4 linked regions of the Saccharomyces cerevisiae S288C genome follow. Changing the gene in region 1 together with any one later gene gives a genetic interaction. Each region holds a gene or a part of one and is shown in the gene's direction. Other genes may lie near its edges. The genes, in order: AIR2, YER175W-A, COX5B and PAU16.

What was found.
Region 2: mutations in AIR2 (region 1) and YER175W-A together harm fitness more than expected from each alone (negative genetic interaction), as found in Saccharomyces cerevisiae (one large-scale study listed by BioGRID).
Region 3: mutations in AIR2 (region 1) and COX5B together harm fitness more than expected from each alone (negative genetic interaction), as found in Saccharomyces cerevisiae (one large-scale study listed by BioGRID).
Region 4: mutations in AIR2 (region 1) and PAU16 together harm fitness more than expected from each alone (negative genetic interaction), as found in Saccharomyces cerevisiae (one large-scale study listed by BioGRID).

The regions. Positions count from the first base shown.
Region 1 is NC_001136.10:143,920-147,281, reverse strand, and holds AIR2 (TRAMP complex RNA-binding subunit), read left to right. Parts: upstream 1-1,763; coding exon 1,764-2,798; downstream 2,799-3,362. Other genes in the region: DLD1 (D-lactate dehydrogenase), read left to right, coding at 1-1,456; GID12 (Gid12p), read right to left, coding at 3,059-3,362. UniProt on the Saccharomyces cerevisiae protein: Component of the TRAMP (TRF4) complex which has a poly(A) RNA polymerase activity and is involved in a post-transcriptional quality control mechanism limiting inappropriate expression of genetic information.
Region 2 is NC_001137.3:539,040-541,393, forward strand, and holds YER175W-A (uncharacterized protein), read left to right. Parts: upstream 1-1,610; coding exon 1,611-1,775; downstream 1,776-2,354. Other genes in the region: monothiol glutaredoxin GRX4, read right to left, coding at 1-129; TMT1 (trans-aconitate 3-methyltransferase), read right to left, coding at 425-1,324.
Region 3 is NC_001141.2:153,417-156,288, forward strand, and holds COX5B (cytochrome c oxidase subunit Vb), read left to right. Parts: upstream 1-1,805; coding exon 1,806-1,806; intron 1,807-1,894; coding exon 1,895-2,349; downstream 2,350-2,872. Other genes in the region: HOS4 (Hos4p), read left to right, coding at 1-1,430; HPM1 (protein-histidine N-methyltransferase), read left to right, coding at 2,629-2,872. UniProt on the Saccharomyces cerevisiae protein: Component of the cytochrome c oxidase, the last enzyme in the mitochondrial electron transport chain which drives oxidative phosphorylation.
Region 4 is NC_001143.9:1,277-4,165, reverse strand, and holds PAU16 (seripauperin PAU16), read left to right. Parts: upstream 1-1,984; coding exon 1,985-2,356; downstream 2,357-2,889. Other genes in the region: YKL222C (uncharacterized protein), read left to right, coding at 1-663.

The DNA.
Region 1 (3,362 bases):
CCCGGTTAAGATCGATAAGGTTGTTGAGGACCTGAAGCAGGTGCTGGGAAACAAGCCTGAAAACTACTCTGATGCGAAATCCGATTTGGACGCCCATTCAGATACCTACTTCAACACGCATCACCCCTCTCCCGAGCAAAGACCTAGGATTATATTATTCCCTCATACTACCGAAGAAGTTTCCAAAATTTTGAAAATATGTCACGATAACAACATGCCAGTTGTACCCTTCTCGGGCGGAACGTCCTTGGAGGGGCACTTCCTGCCTACAAGAATTGGAGATACCATAACCGTAGACCTGTCCAAGTTTATGAATAACGTCGTAAAATTTGACAAGCTGGACCTGGACATCACCGTGCAGGCCGGTCTACCCTGGGAGGATTTGAATGACTATTTGAGCGACCACGGTTTGATGTTTGGCTGTGACCCTGGTCCAGGTGCACAGATTGGTGGTTGCATTGCTAATTCTTGTTCAGGAACCAACGCCTACCGTTACGGTACCATGAAGGAGAATATTATAAACATGACTATAGTGTTGCCGGACGGGACCATTGTCAAGACGAAGAAAAGACCCAGAAAGTCGAGCGCTGGCTATAACTTAAATGGTTTATTTGTGGGAAGTGAAGGTACCTTAGGTATTGTTACTGAAGCTACTGTCAAGTGTCATGTCAAGCCCAAAGCTGAAACTGTTGCGGTGGTATCCTTTGATACTATCAAGGATGCGGCCGCATGTGCTTCTAATCTGACTCAGAGTGGTATTCATTTGAACGCCATGGAGTTACTGGATGAAAATATGATGAAGTTGATCAACGCATCTGAATCCACGGACAGATGTGATTGGGTAGAGAAACCAACTATGTTTTTCAAGATTGGTGGGAGATCTCCCAACATTGTCAATGCTCTTGTGGATGAAGTTAAGGCTGTCGCCCAGTTAAATCACTGCAACAGTTTTCAGTTTGCTAAAGATGATGACGAAAAATTGGAATTATGGGAAGCTAGAAAGGTCGCGCTATGGTCTGTGCTAGACGCTGATAAGAGCAAAGACAAATCAGCTAAAATTTGGACAACTGATGTAGCTGTTCCTGTGTCGCAGTTCGACAAGGTTATTCACGAAACTAAAAAGGACATGCAAGCTAGTAAGCTGATCAACGCCATTGTTGGTCATGCAGGTGATGGTAACTTCCATGCATTCATCGTCTACAGAACCCCTGAAGAACACGAAACCTGTAGCCAACTTGTTGACAGAATGGTCAAGAGAGCACTGAACGCAGAAGGCACTTGCACGGGTGAACACGGTGTTGGTATTGGTAAAAGAGAGTACTTGCTCGAAGAATTAGGTGAAGCACCCGTCGATTTGATGAGAAAGATTAAGCTAGCTATTGACCCAAAGAGAATCATGAACCCGGACAAAATCTTTAAAACTGATCCAAACGAGCCCGCTAATGATTACAGGTGAGTATCTGATTTTCCTTTTTCACCCTTCACGTAAACCTGAAATATATTTCATGTAATATATATAGTTCATCCTTAAAGAAAACATACCATTTCAAAATGCCCTTTCCCAGTAGCTAATACATGCTTAAAAATGTGATATATATTATTACCATCAAATGTATTCATGATCCGGGTAGTGCCTTTTTTTCCTTCAAACACTAATGGGATGGGAAGAAACATTTCGAAAAAAGTTATGACTATTGGCAGCATCAGAGAGAATTAAACCTTACCTGTACAACGATAGCAGCTTACATCACTTCCTCGCAGTCATGGAAAAAAATACGGCACCATTTGTCGTCGATACGGCACCCACAACTCCTCCAGATAAACTTGTAGCACCTTCTATAGAGGAAGTAAATAGTAATCCCAACGAATTAAGAGCTCTTAGAGGGCAGGGTAGATATTTTGGCGTAAGCGATGATGACAAGGATGCCATTAAAGAGGCAGCACCTAAATGTAATAATTGCTCTCAAAGAGGTCATTTGAAGAAGGATTGTCCCCATATAATATGTTCGTACTGTGGGGCGACGGATGATCATTATTCTCGACATTGTCCGAAGGCTATCCAGTGTTCAAAGTGTGATGAGGTGGGTCATTACAGGTCACAATGTCCACATAAATGGAAAAAAGTTCAGTGCACTCTTTGTAAGAGTAAGAAACACTCAAAAGAAAGATGTCCTAGTATATGGAGAGCATATATTTTAGTAGATGATAATGAAAAGGCTAAGCCCAAGGTCCTTCCCTTTCATACTATATACTGTTATAACTGCGGTGGAAAGGGGCACTTTGGTGATGATTGCAAGGAAAAACGATCATCTAGAGTACCTAACGAGGATGGAAGTGCGTTCACTGGTTCTAATTTGTCAGTTGAGCTAAAACAGGAATATTACCGTCACATGAACAGAAATTCGGACGAAAATGAAGACTATCAATTTAGTGAGTCCATATACGATGAGGATCCACTACCGAGACCTTCCCATAAAAGACATTCCCAAAACGATCACTCTCATAGTGGCAGAAATAAACGTAGAGCATCGAACTTCCATCCTCCTCCTTATCAAAAGTCTAATGTCATTCAACCAACTATAAGGGGCGAGACGCTGTCACTCAATAATAATATTAGTAAAAATTCACGGTATCAAAATACAAAAGTAAACGTCTCGTCGATATCGGAGAATATGTATGGCTCCAGATATAACCCTTCTACTTATGTTGATAATAACAGCATTTCCAACTCTTCCAATTACAGAAACTACAATTCTTATCAACCATATAGGAGTGGTACCTTGGGGAAAAGAAGATAACTTTAAATAGGAAGCCCTTTAACAAGCTGTTCTTGGTTACATTATATTTTCTTAATGAAAGATTAAAGACAATACCTAATTCGACCATTAATCAAAATAGCATGTAAATTTCTTACATCTTCTTGTTGTGAAAAAAAAAGGCCTTCGTGCAATCACAGGTAATAATAATAACATATACATACATATACGTAAATACGTCTTATAACTCCTGCTACCTCATACGCTATTTTCTATTATGGCTAACATCTATGCAACTCAATTTAGTCTCTTTTTACCTTTTTCACAATGAATGTATAAAGGTCCTTTTCATCGTAATCTAACCTTCTTTTTTGTGCATTTAAACCGTCATAATCGATTAGAGCAAGTTTGTCGACAAACCGATCTTTTCTATTTAGCTTTAGTGAATCGCACAGTTTTATTCTTCCTAACCTGCAGTTTTTGAAAAATTCGCCTTTAAGAACAGTTATCTCTCCTGCCATTGATGTTACCACCAAGTGAAACGTAAGGGCGCAAACATTGTCTGTGCCTACGTCTATATCATTAATTATAACAATTGTATCATTA
Region 2 (2,354 bases), on another chromosome or scaffold:
CACCTGGCTCATAGTTTTGCAAGGATCAGCCCATTGAGCTTTAAAATATAAGACAATGAGTTTATTAGCAGCGTTTGTAGTGGTTAGTTGCGTAAATTGGTCCTGGCTTTTTATTTCAACCACAGTCATATTTATTGGAGGAAGAGCACAGAAATTTAGTTATATGTAAGTGGAAAAATGAAATATGCTCAGTACCCAAAGACAACAATGTTACCGGGAAAACGAATCAACGTTCCTGGCAGTAACAGATTAAAAAATGGTTCAACTGGTACAGTATTAATATGCTATTTAAGCTAAATATCAACCAGTCTTCAGATATGGTAACTTTTTCTAGGACATCTGTGAATACGTCGCGAGGCTTCACCAATTAAAACGCGCGCTCTTACTAAAATTTCACGAATATAATGCTTATTGGCTGAAATTTTCAGACCCTTTTGCCAAGTTTGTAAAAAGTATTCCAAACAACTTCAATTTTGGTGTTGGTGGAAAGTTCCGGCCTCCTCCTTAGTGACTCTTTAATAAACCAATCTGCTACATCTTCTTTATCTTTGTTCTTTGGATCCTGCTTCCACTGATGGTAAGCGCTCCAGGTTCTGACATAATCTGCAAACTCCACTAGGGTGACCTGCTTTCTGATTAGCAATGGCTTCTTTGTATGCTGGTGGAGTTTTACTTTGTCTCTCACATCTTCTGCACAAAAATATGAAACTTGTATATCATGGAAAAGTTCTGGGTCTAAGTGAGAGTCTTTCAGCATATTACGAAGGCGAGATCTCCCCGGTTGTTCCCAATAGGGTCCCAGTCCTTGCTTCCCGTAAGGAACTTCAATCATCAGATCATCAAATTCAGGGTAGTCCGGGAAAATTGGGTCCGCATAACCCCAAATAGCGATAGTACCATCTTTTCTCAAATTGGCATAAGCAGATCGCTGAAATTTTTCGAAATCGAACCAATGAGCACATTCTACTGCGGTAATCATATCAATTTTCTGTTTGTCTACTGAATCCGCGCCTAGGAATTTAAAATCATCACTTGAAGAAATCTTAAATGAAACGTTTTTGTATGTATCAGGACTTCCTTCCTTTATTACTTCTGCAGTCTTAATCATGGTAGCGGAGAGATCGCTTCCGATAATTTGTTCGAATGGTTTTAACTCCTGAGCCATTTGTAAAGTGGCAGTACCTGGTCCACAGCCAACATCTACGAGTAATTTCCTTTCTCCGTCGTGGTATTCATCAATCATCTTGTAAAAATCGGAGGGATAAGAAGGTCTTGAAGATGAATATCTTTCTGAGTTGAAATCAGAAGCAGAAAAGGTAGACATTATTATCACTTATTTTGTTATCTTGTTAGGAGATAATTCTCATAACAACTAATAAAGACTGCTACAACGAAAACATACTAAATTAGTTACATTCCTTTTCCTTTAAAAATGAAAATAAGGAAGATAAACTTTCGGAAAACCAGAAAAAAAAAGGATATTACTGTGAGTCATGAACATCAACACATAAGGTGTGATTCATTTATAGTAAACAACGGCAGAATTGCACCTAATTTTTCTGATTAGATAGGTTGATGGAACACCCTTTTTATTGGTCATTTAACAATGCATGAGACTACATAAAACATTTATCTGTTTTAGTCAAAACAAACGTGGTTGTAGAAATATTCTGCAAGAAAATTCGCGGATGATATTTGAGAATAAAATACTCATAATGATATTGAGGCAGGGTATATTTTTTAATATTAGCGTGAGCACCAAGATCAGTTTCTAAACATTAGCAAATTATTCTAGGTGGTATAAGACAGGCTAAAAATCTATAATTGAAATGTCAGCATCTTAAAATAAAACAGGAATTAATTTCTAAATACGCAATTGATCCAAGTGTTATGTCAATATGACTTACTGAGAACATACTCTGGCGGGCTTTACTTCCCGATCTCACATGTTGCCTTCAAGAAGCACAAAAAATTTGCAGCCCAAACACTGTCAGACACGGGAATCGATCTAACATCGTAAAATTTCAGCTGCTTCGATAAATTGGTACCCAAATATTGGAGAGACCTTTCACCACACCGACTTGAAATAGTAAACTCAAGCGCAATGATGAAAATTGGGTTGCAATGTATATTTGATATCACAAATACCAAAATTAGCCGCTTTTTTGGTACGCACTTATAATCGAAGAAATTGATTCTTTTTTAGATTTTTAACAAATGAGGTTATATGAGAATGAAGCAGGTCATAACAAGCGGAACCAAAGCTTACTCAAACAAGTTATCATTTCCAACTAAATCCTACTTGAACTGCACCTCTTAAAAGAAAGATAGAAATTCTATACAAGCGCTCTCAC
Region 3 (2,872 bases), on another chromosome or scaffold:
GAACTGTTAAACTGCTATTAGAGGCAGGTGCAGATCCAACCAAAAGAGATAAAAAGGGTCGTACCGCTTTGTACTATGCCAAAAACAGCATAATGGGAATAACAAACAGTGAAGAAATTCAATTGATTGAAAATGCTATAAATAACTATTTGAAGAAGCACTCTGAAGATAATAATGATGATGATGATGATGATGATAATAATAATGAAACATATAAACATGAAAAAAAGAGAGAGAAAACGCAATCACCCATATTAGCAAGCCGAAGAAGTGCCACTCCTAGAATTGAAGACGAAGAGGACGATACGAGGATGCTCAATCTGGCAGACGATGACTTTAATAACGATCGTGATGTCAAGGAATCTACAACTTCGGATTCGCGCAAGAGATTGGATGACAATGAAAATGTTGGTACTCAATACTCATTGGACTGGAAAAAACGTAAAACAAATGCCTTGCAAGATGAAGAAAAATTAAAAAGTATCTCACCACTCTCTATGGAACCTCATTCTCCAAAGAAGGCAAAATCTGTAGAGATAAGTAAAATACATGAAGAAACGGCTGCTGAAAGAGAAGCAAGACTCAAGGAAGAGGAAGAATACAGAAAGAAAAGATTAGAAAAGAAAAGAAAAAAAGAACAGGAACTACTACAAAAGCTGGCCGAAGATGAGAAAAAAAGGATCGAAGAACAGGAGAAGCAGAAAGTCTTAGAAATGGAAAGATTGGAAAAAGCTACTTTAGAGAAAGCAAGAAAAATGGAAAGGGAAAAAGAAATGGAAGAAATCTCTTATAGAAGGGCAGTAAGGGACTTATATCCGTTAGGACTGAAGATTATTAACTTCAACGATAAACTTGATTACAAAAGATTTTTGCCGCTATATTATTTTGTAGACGAAAAAAACGATAAATTTGTGCTCGACTTGCAAGTAATGATATTGTTGAAGGATATCGACTTGCTCTCAAAGGACAACCAACCAACTTCTGAGAAGATTCCCGTCGATCCCTCGCACCTGACTCCATTGTGGAATATGTTGAAATTCATTTTCCTGTATGGAGGTAGTTATGATGATAAAAAGAACAACATGGAAAATAAAAGATATGTTGTAAACTTTGATGGGGTTGATTTGGACACAAAGATTGGGTATGAGCTTTTGGAGTACAAAAAATTTGTTAGTTTGCCCATGGCGTGGATTAAATGGGATAACGTTGTTATTGAAAACCACGCAAAAAGAAAAGAAATTGAAGGAAATATGATTCAAATATCAATAAACGAATTTGCACGATGGAGAAACGATAAGCTGAACAAAGCGCAGCAGCCGACGCGCAAACAGCGTTCTCTAAAAATACCTCGAGAGTTACCGGTTAAATTTCAACACCGTATGAGCATATCCTCCGTCCTCCAGCAGACATCCAAAGAACCATTTTGGTAAAACAATTCATCGGTCCGTTGGCATATGCTCATACATAGTTGCATTTTCGATTCATTAAATACTATTCATGTTAACATAATTCCATATAATCGTACTGTTTTGTCATTATTATATCGGCATGACACTCACCAATTTCTTTTTTTGATTTTGTATTGTTCGATAAGGCAACGAACGAGTACTCGAAAAAATGTCATGGACCCCTTAAAATTACTGAGGGGTTCAGAAAATACCGTGCAAAAGACGAAAAAAGACGAATTTCATTTGATTTATATTTTATAAATGACTGTTGCATTAAACAATAGACCAATTATTTCAATTTAATATTCTTTGCAGGAAACTTTCACAATGGAATAACGCCACATATTCATTGTAAAGAGCATGTATAACAAACACTGATTTTTGTTTTGAGTTTTAAAAGATATCCATTTACTAACATTCGAGGTGTACAAGCACAAGTTTTGCAGTGTTGCGTACTTCTCTTACTAAAGGGGCACGGCTAACTGGGACAAGATTTGTTCAAACAAAGGCCCTTTCGAAGGCAACATTGACAGATCTGCCCGAAAGATGGGAAAATATGCCAAACTTAGAACAGAAAGAGATTGCAGATAATTTGACAGAACGTCAAAAGCTTCCATGGAAAACTCTCAATAACGAGGAAATCAAAGCAGCTTGGTACATATCCTACGGCGAGTGGGGACCTAGAAGACCTGTACACGGAAAAGGCGATGTTGCATTTATAACTAAAGGAGTATTTTTAGGGTTAGGAATCTCATTTGGGCTCTTTGGTTTAGTGAGACTATTAGCCAATCCTGAAACTCCAAAGACTATGAACAGGGAATGGCAGTTGAAATCAGACGAGTATCTGAAGTCAAAAAATGCCAATCCTTGGGGAGGTTATTCTCAAGTTCAATCTAAATAAGTAGACGAGGAAAATAAAATTGTTTCGTATATTCCGTGTTTGGGGTATAAGTAGATTGTTTTCATATATACGCATTTGGTCTTAGTTCAGTAGGTTGATTACTTAGTTCCTTGTACCTTCTTCTGCAAATATCATTCATTGTTACTTCGAAGAAGAAAAAAAATAATCATGGAAAATTGGAAAAAAAAAAAGTCCAATCTAAAAAATAAAAATGTTCAAGTCATCGATTCTATGGGGAGGAAAAGGACAATCAGAACCGAAGTGTTGTGTAGCTAAAATATGTCATTTTCCTTCGGCTTTACTTCCAATGACTTTGATGATGATGAGCTTGTTGCTCAACCTGAAACATTCGTTGAAAGCAGCAAAGAAAACGAAAATACCACTGCTTACATCAATCCATTAGATTCGGATTTCTTGTCGCAAGCTGGAGTTGTGCAGCCAAATGTGGAAGACCTAGGAACAATATTGGAAAGTCTTAAGGATGTTAGATTGACATTTGAAGAGTTCCAATCTCCGATATATA
Region 4 (2,889 bases), on another chromosome or scaffold:
ATATTCAATTTTAGCGTCCTGGCTCCACTAAATTCATTACATTTGTGCTTTAATGTCCTTGAGACCTATTTTGAATTAGACAACAGCAAATTATCTTCTAAGTCATTATGCCTCTCCAAAAAATGGCCCCATTTAAACAATGCGTTGTTTCTTATTTATGTGAACGCTTTCAGAGCATTAATTCAAATTTATACCATTTTTCTACAGTATATGGAAAATAAAGATATCCAATTATTCATTCAGAGAAATTCGTCCGCACTAACTTATTCTATATGTCCTGGAGACTTTGAGGGTCCACACAATAAGTGTATTTCACTGAAAATTGCATTTAAAGAAATGGAAAACATATTTGATCATATTCACCAAGAAAAGTTGAAACCTCTTACTCAAATTTGGCAAAACTCCTATTACTTTTCTATTATTATATCAATGGAAAAAATAGGAAGAAGAGCTTTTAACAAAGGAATGAAAAATATCGATGAAGGGCCTGAAACCGAAAATGATGCAACTGAAAACAGTTTAACAACTATACTAAATGATTTAGAGGGACCTTTAGAAGATTTCTCGGAAAATTTCATCGATGATATATTAGGTTCTCCAAGTGCCTTCTTTGATACAGCTATTTCCGGGTGGAGTAATTTTGAGGACTTCTTTTCCAGATAGGTACAACAATTGAATTATAAAAATTGAACCTGTAGTAAGTGACTCATTTTTTTTGCCAACACGAAAGGAACTCTTTGTGAAAGCTATTGGTGGCACCCTCTGTTCCTTTCGGACTTCTACATACTTTTCTAGATAGTTGCTCTTTTTTTTGGGGTATTTCAGGTGTCACTGCCCAGCTATTTTTCATTTTTAATAACTAAGATAACGTTTGATATGTAAGTTCTAAGTATGTTTCTCTATATTTTAGGTGCACATCATAATATCCTATGTATTCTAATTTGCAAATGAATATTTTGAAAGAGAAGTATTTTATTCCGGAAAAAGAAATTCGATATTTTTCTGGTATATTAATGCTAATTGGTAAGTAAATTCAATATTGTCTAGTGCAGACTCAGATATAGTACTGTCGTTTTGGCCGAATTGAAACCTCTTCAACATATACATATATATACTGTGGTTTAATCACCATAATGACCTTGGGTTTTGTAAAATTTAAGTAAAAAGAAATATTTATTAAATATAATTAATTGAAAAAGTGCCATGTTCGTAGTCAAAAAGAAATGAAGAAGTGCCATGGGAGGCTTGTAATTAGTATTCCCACATTCATTTTCGGACTAAAAGACTTTTCAAGTAAAGTTTAGTATTTATAAACTGTTACAATTTTATTTTTATCATACACGATTCTTTGAACATCAACTTCTCTCAATACCATCCGCCTTCAGCGGCTACAATTACGTAATTGCACCAAGGCATTCGCGGAGAATTCACGAATTTGCAGACGCTAACAGTATACGACTCCCAACACACGTTTAATGTTGTACGAATTCAAGAGATAGAAATATTTCTTGCATGGAAGCCGTTTAGAGCAGACTGAATATGGGCTTAGACAATAAGCTTCTGTACGAGGGTCCAAATCTAAAATTCGGATATTCTTTTTGACCGAAAAAGGAAATGTCACAGGCACAGAAAAGGGTTTTATAAGGCACCTCGGCACCCTATAATTGGCATTCTCACATTCTACGCATACGAATACACATGAGTGCCATAAAACAGTACTCCACATACGAAGTCTATGAAAGATGTATGATTCGTTCAGAAACAAGAGCATCTCCATAGTGATAATGAGATTGTGTGAAAGATGAGATATAGAGGATATGTGAGGTGCTAAATGAGCACTTGTTAACGAATCGTTTAAGTAGTGATGACTGATGAAGGCATGGGTATAAATAGAGCTGCTTCAACTGTATGTCTTTGAGAATATGTTTTTATTCCTTTCTTTCCTGTTAAGCTTATATCAGCACTAAGAAACAAAACAAATATAATGGTCAAATTAACTTCAATCGCTGCTGGTGTCGCCGCCATCGCTGCTGGTGTTGCCGCTGCCCCAGCCACTACCACTCTATCTCCATCTGACGAAAGAGTTAACTTGGTCGAATTGGGTGTTTACGTCTCCGATATCAGAGCTCATTTGGCCCAATACTACTTGTTTCAAGCAGCTCATCCAAGTGAGACCTACCCAGTTGAAATTGCTGAAGCTGTTTTCAACTATGGTGACTTCACCACCATGTTGACTGGTATTCCAGCTGAACAAGTCACCAGAGTTATCACTGGTGTCCCATGGTACTCTACCAGATTGAGACCAGCTATCTCCAGTGCTCTATCCAAGGACGGTATCTACACTATCGCAAATTAGAGACAAACGCCAATTTTACGAACGGGTTTCCATAGACATTGAAAATTAACGAACAAAATAAAATAAAAAAACTACTTTTTTTTTGATGATATAAATACCGTAGATTATATAAATGTATATTAATATTATAAACCTATTTGATCAATGACGGTGTTCGTGAAGCATTTTATGAATATGATAAACATAGAAAGAAATTTTACACTATTGTAGAAAAAGCGTGGACGGTAATAAAGCTAACAGAGTATGTCCAATAAACAACAATGAAATTGGAAGCGTATGACTTCGCAGCACTTTGTCCTTCCATAAAAATGAGTCGCTGCTTCTTTTTTCATTTTTTGGCGCGTCGCGTCGGGCCGTATAGAATATGCGTCACTTCTAAGAACAAGATTGCAGATCAGGGCAGTGCGAGTTACGGAGTCATGGTATCAAACTCTCATTTAGAGACCCTCATTTTTTGACACTGAAAATATCAAAATTTCTGGGTTGCGATAGTTTTTGTGTAACCGTAACCAGAAATAAAGCTGAAGGGTTAG